3 linked regions of the Macaca fascicularis genome follow. The protein of the gene in region 3 purifies or fractionates together with the protein of the main gene of each other region. This does not show direct contact. Links are inferred from orthologs where the notes say so. Each region holds a gene or a part of one and is shown on either strand. Other genes may lie near its edges.

Region 1 (3,025 bases), on a different chromosome or scaffold from region 3:
GCACCTAGAATGGGGCCTGCACTTAATGAGATGGATGAATAGTGGTATTTAATAAGATACTTAATGAAGAGTCAGTTTTGGAGGAAAAATAGGAGCTCAAATATTTCTTTTTTTTTTTTTTTTTTTTTTTTTTTTTGAGACGGAGTCTCGCTCTGTCACCCAGGCTGGAGTGCAGTGGCCGGATCTCAGCTCACTGCAAGCTCCTCCTCTCGGGTTCACGCCATTCTCCTGCCTCAGCCTCCCAAGTAGCTGGGACTACAGGCACCCGCCACTTCGCCCGGCTAGTTTTTTGTATTTTTTAGTAGAGACGGGGTTTCACCGTATTAGCCAGGATGGTCTCCATCTCCTGACCTCATGATCCGCCCATCTCGGCCTCCCAAAGTGCTGGGATTACAGGCTTGAGCCACCGCGCCCGGCCTCAAATATTTCTTAAATACTGCTTTTTATTTGTTTTTTTGAGGTGGAGTTCCTCTCTGTGGCCCAGGCTCCCAGGCTGGAGGGCGGTGGCGCGATCTCAGCTCACTGCAACCTCCACCTCCTGGGTTCAAATGATTCTCCTGCCTCAGCCTCCGGAGTAGCTGGGACTACAGGCACCCGTCCCTCACGCCCGGCTAATTTTGTATTAGTAGAGATGGGGTTTCTCCATGTTGGTCAGGCCGTGGTCAAACTTCTGACCTCAGGTCATCTGCCCGCCTTGGCCTCCCAAAGTGCTGGGATTATCGGCGTGAGAGCCACCGCACCCGATCCCAACTGCCCTTTTATTCGTCTGTGTCCTCTAGTGCATTTTATTTGTCTGTGTACAGCGCAGGGATGCATCGCCTTTCTGAGGCTTGGCACAATTAGTGGCCCAGGGTAGGTGTTTAGTAAAAGTGGATTTCTGCCACAGCGCATTATAGAGCTAAAGAGAGAGGGTTTTCTCTTTAGATGATCGGGCCACGTTTTGGTGTGACCGCTAGGGGGAGAGGTGGCACCGGCGGAGCGCTCGCCAGACCCATTTTTCCGCTCCTTGCGTCATCGCACAGGGCGGGGCTCGTACCTGACGCCCGGCGTCTGGGCCTGCTCTCACCCTACTAGGGAAAGGGGTGGGGCTCGGCTTTCCGGCGTGGGCGGAAATTGCTCAGAATCCTCGGGAGCTTTGCGAAACGACAGACCGTCGTCGACCCCGCGGTGAGCCGGAAGTAATTGAATAAGCCCCGGAAGTTTGGAACTATCGCCGGCGTGCGTTCGCAGGTAGATCGCGGTGCCGGTTGCTATGGAGCCGGTCGGGCCTTGTGGTTTCTGCCCGGCGGGGGAGGCCCAGCCCGCGCGTTACACCTGCCCTCGCTGTAATGCGCCCTATTGCTCGCTGCGCTGCTACCGGACGCATGGCACCTGCGCAGAAAACTTCTACCGTGACCAGGTGCTGGGAGAGCTCCGCGGCCGCAGCGCCTCGCCCAGCCGCCTGGCAAGCGCCCTACGCCGGCTGCGTCAGCAACGCGATACCGAGGACGAGCCTGGGGAAACAGGCCTTAGCCCCGGCCCGGCGCCCGGCGGCCTCTCGGGACTGTGGGAGCGGCTGGCGCCGGCCGAAAAAACTGCCTTCGAGCGGCTGCTGAGCCGTGGTGAGGCCGGGCGGCTGCTTCCTCCATGGCGGCCGTGGTGGTGGAAGCGCGGAGCCGGACCGTGGCGGCTTCTGGAGGAGCTGGATGATGTCCCGGGCAGTGATGCCGCGGGGCTGGAGCCCGCCCTTGCGAGGACCCCGCCGGAATCTATGAACGATGCCTTCGCCGCGGAGCTCGCGGCTGCCGAGCTGGTTCTTGGAGATGTCCCGGGGGCCTGCACGCCCGCCATACCCACCCGCATCCCCACGCTGGTCAGCCTGAGCCGCGGCCCAGTCTCGCCGCTCGTGCGCTTCCAGCTGCCCAATGTGCTGTTCGCCTACGCGCATACTCTCGCCCTGTATCACGGCGGTGACGACGCACTGCTCTCTGACTTCTGTGCTACACTGCTCGGCGTTTCCGGAGCCCTGGGTGCCCAGCAAGTCTTCGCCTCTGCGGAAGAAGCCCTGCAGGCCGCAGCCCACGTGCTGGAAGCAGGCGAACACCCGCCTGGGCCCCTGGGCACACGAGGGGCTATGCACGAGGTCGCTCGCATCCTGCTGGGTGAGGGCCCGACCAACCAGAAAGGCTACACGCTGGCAGCACTGGGAGACCTGGCAAAGACCCTGGGCCGTGCCCGGAAACAGGCTGTGCTTAGAGAAGAGCGAGATCATCTTTACCGGGCCCGGAAAAAGTGCCAATTCCTCCTGGCCTGGACCAATGAAAATGAGGCGGCCCTCACACCCCTGGCTCTAGATTGCGCCAGGGCTCACCAAGCCCATGCTGTGGCAGCCGAGGAGGTGGCCGCCCTCACTGGGGAGCTGGAGCGGCTTTGGGGAGGCCCCGTGCCACCTGCCCCAAGGACTCTCATTGAGGAGCTCCCTGGCTGAACTGGGGACCCTGGTCATTAATAAAGCTGTGAGTGGTCAGCCCTGTTGCCTGTTTCTGAAGGATAGTTATTGTCCTACCAGGCCCCCAGAGTCCTGGGCCCACAAGCCACTGCTCAGCTTCTCCCTGATCAGTGCTGACCCAGCCAGTCCTAGGGGAGAGAAGTGCACCAATGGTTCCCAATGTTTATCCAAAGGAGGAAGAGCATCTCCGATTTTGGTCACTGGTTTCATTTTTTTCCTTGCTCTAAACCACCTCTTCTCTGAGGCTGTTCATCCTCAGGGCTGGGTGGGGTACAAGCCCTTGAGTCCCAAGTGTGTCCAGGCTCCTGGTCTTGGGTGTGCTGGTGGATGAGTGGGCATATGTCCCCACCTGGGGTGGTGGAGCCGCTTCAGTAGATGTAGGGCACGATGCGGTAAGGCACACGCCGGCAGTACTCCTGCCATGCCAGGCCATACTTCTGCAGGCACTGCCGCTCATCCCGGGCCTCACGGTGCACCAGCAGCGCGGTGAAGTAGAGGAGGTAGAAGTAGGGCAGCAGGTGTGACACCCCTGTAGAG
Region 2 (4,236 bases), on a different chromosome or scaffold from region 3:
GCGCGGTGGCTCACACCTATAATCCCAGAACTTTGGGAGGCCAAGGCGGGTGATCACCTGAGGTCAAGAGTTTGAGACCAGCCTGGCCAATATGGTGAAACCCCAACTCTACTAAAAATACAAAAATTAGCTGGGCGAGGCAGTGGGCTCCTATAATCTCAGCTACTCAGCGGGGCTGAGGCAGGAAAGTCGCTTGAACCCAGTTGGCAGAGGTTGCAGTGAGCCGAGATCACGCCAATCCAGCCTCGGCGACAACAGGGAAATTCCATCTCAAAAAACAAACAAACAAAAAAATTGCAACACGAGTTAAGCACTTTTATATTTTTAATGAAGCATGAAAAAGTTACTCTGTAAGTAATCTTACTAAATTAAGATAAAATACCAAAACATATGCGGCATACTAAGGACCATATATGTTGGTGATTGCAAAAAGTAATATATCTTCCAGGAGTTAACTGTTCACTCTAGAACAGATTTCCTTATTTTTGAGATGGAGTCTCGCTCTGTCGCCCAGGCCTGAAGTGCAGTGGCATGATCTCTGCTCACTGCAACTTCTGCCTCCCGAGTTCAGGCAATTCTTCTGCCTCAGCCTCCCGAGTAGCTGGAACAACAGGCGCGCACCACCGCGCCCGACTAATTTTTAGTAGAGACGGAGTTTCACCACACTGGCCAGGCTCGTCTCGAACTCCTGACCTCATGATCCGCCAGCCTCGGCCTCCCGAAGTGCTGGGATTACAGGCGTGAGCCACCGCGCCTGGCCTAGAATAGATTTCTTGACTCAAGTTCTAAAATAATAGGATCCAAGTAATTACACACAATACTGGTACTTTTAAGACCATCTTTCTTTTGGATCAAGACCCACAAAATAGCAAAAATATCCAAAGTTGTGCTTATTAGGGTTCAATGCAATTAACTATTGTACATAACATAATTTTACCTTAATTTTCCTTCCCATGGAAAACTGAGTCAAGTTTGAAACAAATAAAAGAGTTCTCACATACAAAAAAAAGTTCTCACAGCTCTAAACCTTAGAGATAAATGCTGTTTTGATGATATATATTTATATCTATGCACACACATATGTATATGTGCATGTATATATATGTATTACATATACGTTTGTATACACACACAGTTAAGTTCATCCTGATACTACGGCCATATTCATTTTCTACTGAAAATATAAGACTTTCAAGTAATCAAAGAGAAATGTGATTAAATCAGAGCAAAGTAGTAATAACAGGGTAACACAGTGAGGTCAGAACTCGACCAGCCAATCAAAGGCATAAAAGCATTTCCTGCAATATTAATAGTCAAAAGAGAAAACCAATCACGGAAACCTCGAGCTTCCTTTTGACAGCCACAGAAGCAAGAGAACCAATCCACACACACCCGAGGTTGACAATAAGGCGGGACTGCAGGTTCATTGAAGAAATTCTTGAGGGTGCAGTTACTATGAACTTCGCAAGCAAGTAACACCACTCGAGTCATAAACACTCTCTGTTAAGCCAGATATTCAACCGTCTGCAAAATTTAACCCATCGGAGAAAAAGCAGCAGTTTTCCCAAAAGGTGCTGTATTATCAAAATTACAACTGCCAATTTAGATGCACTAAGTCCTCAACTTCTAAGGATCACCTCGCAATGACAATTCTCGAGGACAACGCTACGCCGGCAGCTCGCTCCGGGGCATCCCCGGCTCCTCTCTAACACTGCGCACGGAGCACGGCCGTCTCGGCGAAGCTGTCAGAGCCCGTCCACCCCGCGCCCGGCTCGGGTCGGGTCGGCTGAACTGGCCGGCGGGCGGCTCTCGGACGCTACTACCCGGTCGGTAGTCGTGGTCCCCGCCCTCCCCCGCCGCAGTGCTGTACCGCCTCATCCCGCTGCACCGTCGCGGGCGGGGAAGCCAGGATGATTACACTGCTGGGAGGAAGATGTTTGTTTTGAAAGCGCCCTTCTACAGTCATTTCAAAGAGAACCCAATACAAAATTTAAAAGTGGAAAAAATAATCATCTTGCCTAGCCAAATAACACCCCGCCATTAATTAGCCCCGCGCCTGGGGGAGGGAGGTGGGAAGGTAAACAGAGACCGTACGCCAAGTGCGGCCAGCGCATCCCCTGCGCCATTCCCGGCCGCCGCTTACGGCAAGGCCCCCTTACGGCAGCGTAAGCAGCGCTGCGAGCTAATCACAACACTGGGACGCAACAACATGGCGGCCGCGGGCGGGCGCTACGCCAGCCGAGAGGGTTTACGCTACTCCGCCGGCGTAGAGTCCCGTGCGTTAGAGCAGCAGCGGCGCCCTCCAGCGAGCGTAAAGCGCTCTGTGAATGGCGAGGCCCGACTGACAAAGGGGAGGGGGGAGGAGGGAAGGGGGGGTAATAAACACTCGAGTCCCTACCGATTCCTCCTCCTTCTCCATCCCGGTGGGCATCTGGGGCACGGCCCGGTTGATGGAGACGCAGTCGTTGAGATCAGGCATGTCCTTGCCGCGGTAGATAGGCAGCGGCTTGGCGGCGTCCAGCGCCCGCGCTCGGAAGGAGAGTTTACTCATTGTCTCCCCGCCTTACAGGAACAGCCCGGGCGGCGGCGGCGGGGCGGGCGGGGAGGGGGGGAGGACTCCCGCCGCCTCCTCCACCTCCTTCCTCAGTGCAGCGCGGCCGGCCCGCTCCTCCTCCTCCTCACTGCCCCCGGCCACAGCATGGGCGCCCACCCCGCCCGAAAACAGCCCCCCGCCGCCCGCGGCCGCTTCCACACACTAGATCCGCCGCTCGCCCGCCCGATCCGCTCCCTGCGCCATGGCCAACATGGCGGACATTACCACAGCGGCGGCGAGCGATCCCGGCAGCCCGCGCGAGAGCGCGCCCCCGCCGCGGGAACGCGCCTCGCCCTCTCCCTCCCTCCCTCCTTCCTCTCCCTTCCCCTCCCTTGCCTGCCCACCCACTCTCTACGCGGCGCTGCCGGCCCGCGGGAGCGTGCTGGTCTCGGTCCGCTCCAGGCAGAGGGGGCGGCTGCGGCGCCCCTCCGCTCGCCGGCCGGTGCTTTCGCTGTGTGGCAGGTGCCAGGTGCGCAAGTTCGCCCGCGCCCGGGAGCGTGCGCCTCTGCCTCCGCCGCCCGGTCATCCCTCTCGCTGGGTGTCCCGCAGGAAGGCGCCGGGCAAAGACTGCTGCGCTGAGCAGCGCGTGTGTGCAGAAGTCCGGGAGCGGGAAGGGAAGATGTCGACCCGGACCCCACTAGCCATCACCCAAGCCTGTACTCGGACAGCGCTTATCCCCCAAGGCGCCCTGAGCGCAGGCTAATTCGCATCCTCCGAGGCGCTCATCCCGGAGAGGTGCGACAGGTCTCTCCCATCACTCTGCTCCGAGGGGCGCCGCGCTGCTGGTGCCAGCCCTCTCCGCCGCCCTCCCCTCCGTACCTGTCCGAAAGAGCTCTCCAAGGTGCAGCAGCGCGCTAGTCCTCGGCTTCGCGAGGAGGACGCTCAGGGCAGCAGTAAGGGTTCATGGTTTGAGGCTGCCAGATGCAACAAGTGAACTTAGGTTCCCTGTCACCGAAACTTCGGTACAGCTGTTTAGTGGATGGTAGGTATTTCTCTGAGTTCAAAAATAGTAGCTTTACTAAAAGTTCAGCTTCTAAAAATTTAACCAAGGCAGCACACATTTGCGAAGTAGCAGATGTGTGTCAAATGTGGGGTGCTGTGGAAGACTCGAAGAAGTCTGAGAAAAGGTTCCTGCCTCAGAGAGCTTTCACCGTAATGGAATGCCAGGACTGCTGGAAAGATGAGTAACAGTAAGAGATGTAAATAGTTAAAGAAAATGACAGCTGGAAAGATAAATGACAACCGAAAAAAAAGTGTAAATATTTTAAGAAAACAATACAAGAGATGACACAGGCAGTAAGTAGGACATGATTAATTACCAAACGAGATCTAGGCAATAATTGTGAGAGTTCAGAGAAAGGAGGCATGACTACAGCCTAAACAGGTTAGAGAAAGTTCTCAAGAGGAGGGAAAATCAAGGTGACTCAAATAAGTACTAGCTATTGTTGACATCCACCTGGTTTAGCCAGGAGGCTCTTGGTTAGTCTTTAAGCATTACACATTTCTCACAAAACCGTACAAAGAGAGTTTTTAACACATTTTACCATTTTCTAATAATCGATCAATACTCTGCCTAACTCAGAGAAAGGCAGATGATTTCCTAAAGACCAACAGTGAAAAAATTGATTCCCACTGTTATTTCT
Region 3 (3,563 bases):
TAACCTTTAGCTCGTGTCTCCTGTCACATGATGACATCACCCCCTGATGACGCAGCCTTCCACAACTGTCAGTCCCCCAAGGACACCTTTCCGCAGAGCTGGGCTGCTTTAAGCTAGCTCTCTGCCTCGAGGATTACTGGATCAAGGTCCCACTCCCGTGCTCGACATGAAGCTTCACAAAGGAGGGGACAGAACCTGTCTTGTTCCCTGTTGCAGCGGGGCCAGCCCAGGGCTGGTACCAGGGTATACAGTCAGTTCCCCTTATTCACCGCAGTGAGGTTCTAGAAAGTCACCGTGAACACTCCAATTAGCCGATCCTGAGCCACTGCTCCTAGTGGAATACAGGGTTAGGCTCTCTTGAGCCTTTACTCACAGTATTTTCGTCAATCAATATATATATAATCTGGGTCTATGTGTGTTTTCATTTGTGTGTTTCTGTTATGTTTTTTTTTTTTTTTTTTGAGACGGAGTCTCGCTCTGTCGCCCAGGCTGGAGTGCAGTGGCCGGATCTCAGCTCACTGCAAGCTCCGCCTCCCGGGTTCACGCCATTCTCCTGCCTCAGCCTCCCGAGTAGCTGGGACTACAGGCGCCCACCACCTCGCCCGGCTAGTTTTTGTATTTTTTTTAGTAGAGACGGGGTTTCACCGTATTAGCCAGGATGGTCTCGATCTCCCGACCTCGTGATCCGCCCATCTCGGCCTCCCAAAGTGCTGGGATTACAGGCTTGAGCCACCGCGCCCGGCCTCTGTTATGTTTTTTAAGACGGAGTCTCGCTCTGTTGCGAGGCTGGAGTGCAGTGGCATGACCTCGGCTCACTGCAAACTCCGCCTCCCGAGTTCAACCGATCCTCCTGCCTCAGCCTCCCAAGTAGCTGGGTCTACAGGCGCACGTCACTATGCCCAGCTAATTTTTTCTATTTTTAATAGACACGGGGTTTCATCATGTTGGCTGGGATGGTCTCGTCGTTCTCTTGACCTCGTGATCTGCCCACCTCAGCCTCCCAAAGTGTTGGGATTACAGGAGTGAGCTACTGCACTTGGCCTCATTTATGTGTGTTTCTATTTTCATGTGTTTATGTAATATCACTGTTTATTCTCTAACATGGAGCTCATGTCAACAGCATTCTAACTTGGGCTCAGCGAAGCGTCTGTAGCACGGTATTTCCTCCGTCCGGCATCACAGCCTCCTTGCACTCAGAATACCAGACAGCACTTCCGCACTGTGCACAGGGGACACTGCAAATGGCAATATCACCAACAAATGGCCCCAAAAAGTTTTTTTTTAAAAAAGGCACAAAAATGTGACAATACTTTGGGAGGCTGAGGCAGGCGGATTGCTTGAGCCCAGGAGTTGTAGGCCAGCCTGGGCAACATGGCAAAACCCCATCTCTACAAAAAAATACAAAAGTAAAAAATAAAAAATGAAAAATAAAAAAATAAAATTAGGCCGGACGCAGTGGCTCACCCCTGTAATTCCAACACTTTGGGAGGCCAAGGTGGGCAGATCACGAGGTCAGGAGCTCGAGACCAGCCTGGCCAATACGGTGAAACCCCGTCTCTACTAAAACTACCAAAATTAGCCAGGCATGGTGGGGGGTGTCTGCAATCCCAGCTACTCGGGAGACTGAGGCAGGAGAACTGCTTGAACCCGGGAGGCAGAGCTTGCAGTGAGCCAAGATCGTGCCACTGCACTCCAGCCTGGCAAGAGAGCTAGACTCCGCCTCAAAACAAAAACAAAAATTAGCTAGGCATAGTGGTGCACGCCCATGGTCCCAGCTGATGAGGAGGCTGAGGCCAGAGGATTGATTGAGCCCCAGGGGTGGTGTGTGTGTGTGTGTGTATGTGTGTGTGGCAGGCACTGAGGCTGCAGTGAGCCATGATCATGCCTCTGTACTCCAGCCTGGGCAACAGAGCAAGACCCTGTCTCAAAAAACGAAAGTGAAAACGTAGCACTAAATAGAATACAACAAGGACACTTATTTACAGCATGAGCTAAAGGAAGCAGCCAGTGTTGCCTCATTCACACTCAGCTAGGAAAGTGGGTGTCAGGTGACTCGAATTTGTGGTCAAAAGCAGGGCAGATATTTACTTGCGGATTACAAATAAATCTTAGCAAGCAAGGAGATTCTCAGATACAGAGTCTACAAACAACCAGGGCTGCTGGTAGCTGCTGCCTCCCACAGGAGGTGCCCCTGGGCAGCCCCCAGGCCCTGACCTGCGGTTTCTGTGAAAACACCATCAGCCCTGGGGGTCTCTTCCAGCGTCCAGCCACCGAGAGACCAAATTCGGGCTCTGCCACTTTCTAGACTTGTGACCCGGGCAAGTCACTGGGCCTCACTGTCCTGCCCTGTAAAATGGCACTGAGGTGATATCTACCTTCTGAGCTTCTTCTGCAGATCCAAGGAGTTAAAAGAGCCAACAGAGCCAGGCACAGCGGCCCACCATCCTCTGTAGGATGCCTGCTTCATCCCTTTTGTGGTGCCCACCCCAACCGCCCAGTTTCAGCTGGGCCCACAGCTGCAGTCCCCAGCCTTCTTTGCCACCAGGTACGGCCCTGAGCCTGAGCACCACCAGGCAATGGGATGTGGGTACAAGAGTGGGGTGCAGCCTGTGGATCACAGCCTATGGGAGCTGCCTGCCCTCCACATCCCCCTGCTTCCTGCGGGCCAAAATGTGGCGAGGTGGAGAAGACAGCCAGCAGGCATGGTGGCGGGTGCCCATAATCCCAGCTACATAGGGTGCTGGCAACACCTGGGAGACGAGGTTCCCAGGCTTCAGCACAGCACAGTACCCTCTGTGTCACAGGAATCTGTCCCCGGCATCCTCAGACCAAACACAACACTAAGAGTTCCCCACGCACACGGTGCTGGCAACACCTGGGAGACGAGGTCCCCAGGCTTCAGCAGAGCATGGTACCCTCTGTGTCATGGGAATCTGTCCCTGGCATCCTCAGGCCAAACACAACAGTAAGAGTTCTGTGAATGAAGTTGTTGGGTCGAAGTGACTGAACAGTCGTAGTTTATGTCGTGTCTAACAGATGTCACTGTGCTTCCCTCAAGATTAGAAAACATCCCACAGCACTCCTGTGAGTTTCCTGCAGCGCCCCGGGGCGCTTCGCACGCAGTTTGAAAACTGCAGCCTTGGGGGCCAAAGGAGTAGCAAGACAGAAAGGCAGCAAGAACAGTCTCTGGGCTTCCTCGGGGAGCAGAGCTGCCTCCCACCCGCCTTTTGTAAGGGAAGAGCGCACACGGCAGTCACGGGTCCCTCCCTGATCAGGTGTCAACACAGGCTCCCTGTGGACCCTCTGACCACATCCACTGCCCGGAGCATCCCGTTTTCCCCAGAGGCCCCTGCAGCTGGCTCACCGCGTGATGCCACGGTTGGTGGCCATGATCAGGACGGGCGCCATGTCACTCTCCAGGGCCCGGTTGAGGAAGGAAAAGCTCTCGATGTCCAGCATGTGGACCTCATCAATGAACAGCACCTGGGATTGGGGTGTGTGTGTGAGTCGCCACCCACGTCCCTGCTTCCCCAGCCCACTCCCACCCCGCCACCTGCCCCGGC

What was found.
Region 1: the proteins of RUVBL2 (region 3) and ZNHIT2 purify together in Homo sapiens (affinity purification with mass spectrometry; 5 studies listed by BioGRID and IntAct, counting the BioPlex papers as one, with this or other methods). This does not show direct contact. The link is inferred for Macaca fascicularis from reciprocal best matches to the Homo sapiens genes RUVBL2 and ZNHIT2.
Region 2: the proteins of RUVBL2 (region 3) and EPC2 purify together in Homo sapiens (co-immunoprecipitation; 4 studies listed by BioGRID and IntAct, counting the BioPlex papers as one, with this or other methods). This does not show direct contact. The link is inferred for Macaca fascicularis from reciprocal best matches to the Homo sapiens genes RUVBL2 and EPC2.

The regions. Positions count from the first base shown.
Region 1 is NC_088388.1:9,252,416-9,255,440, forward strand, and holds ZNHIT2 (zinc finger HIT domain-containing protein 2), read left to right. Parts: upstream 1-1,184; 5' UTR 1,185-1,252; coding exon 1,253-2,467; 3' UTR 2,468-2,506; downstream 2,507-3,025. Other genes in the region: delta(14)-sterol reductase TM7SF2, read right to left, coding at 2,857-3,017. UniProt on the Homo sapiens protein: May act as a bridging factor mediating the interaction between the R2TP/Prefoldin-like (R2TP/PFDL) complex and U5 small nuclear ribonucleoprotein (U5 snRNP).
Region 2 is NC_088386.1:44,214,337-44,218,572, reverse strand, and holds the start of EPC2 (enhancer of polycomb homolog 2), read right to left. Parts: upstream 2,820-4,236; 5' UTR 2,552-2,819; coding exon 2,399-2,551; intron 1,853-2,398; exon of another isoform or gene 1,638-1,852; intron 1-1,637. UniProt on the Homo sapiens protein: May play a role in transcription or DNA repair.
Region 3 is NC_088393.1:56,995,342-56,998,904, reverse strand, and holds part of RUVBL2 (ruvB-like 2), read right to left. Parts: intron 3,484-3,563; coding exon 3,365-3,483; intron 332-3,364; exon of another isoform or gene 5-331; intron 1-4. UniProt on the Homo sapiens protein: Possesses single-stranded DNA-stimulated ATPase and ATP-dependent DNA helicase (5' to 3') activity; hexamerization is thought to be critical for ATP hydrolysis and adjacent subunits in the ring-like structure contribute to the ATPase activity.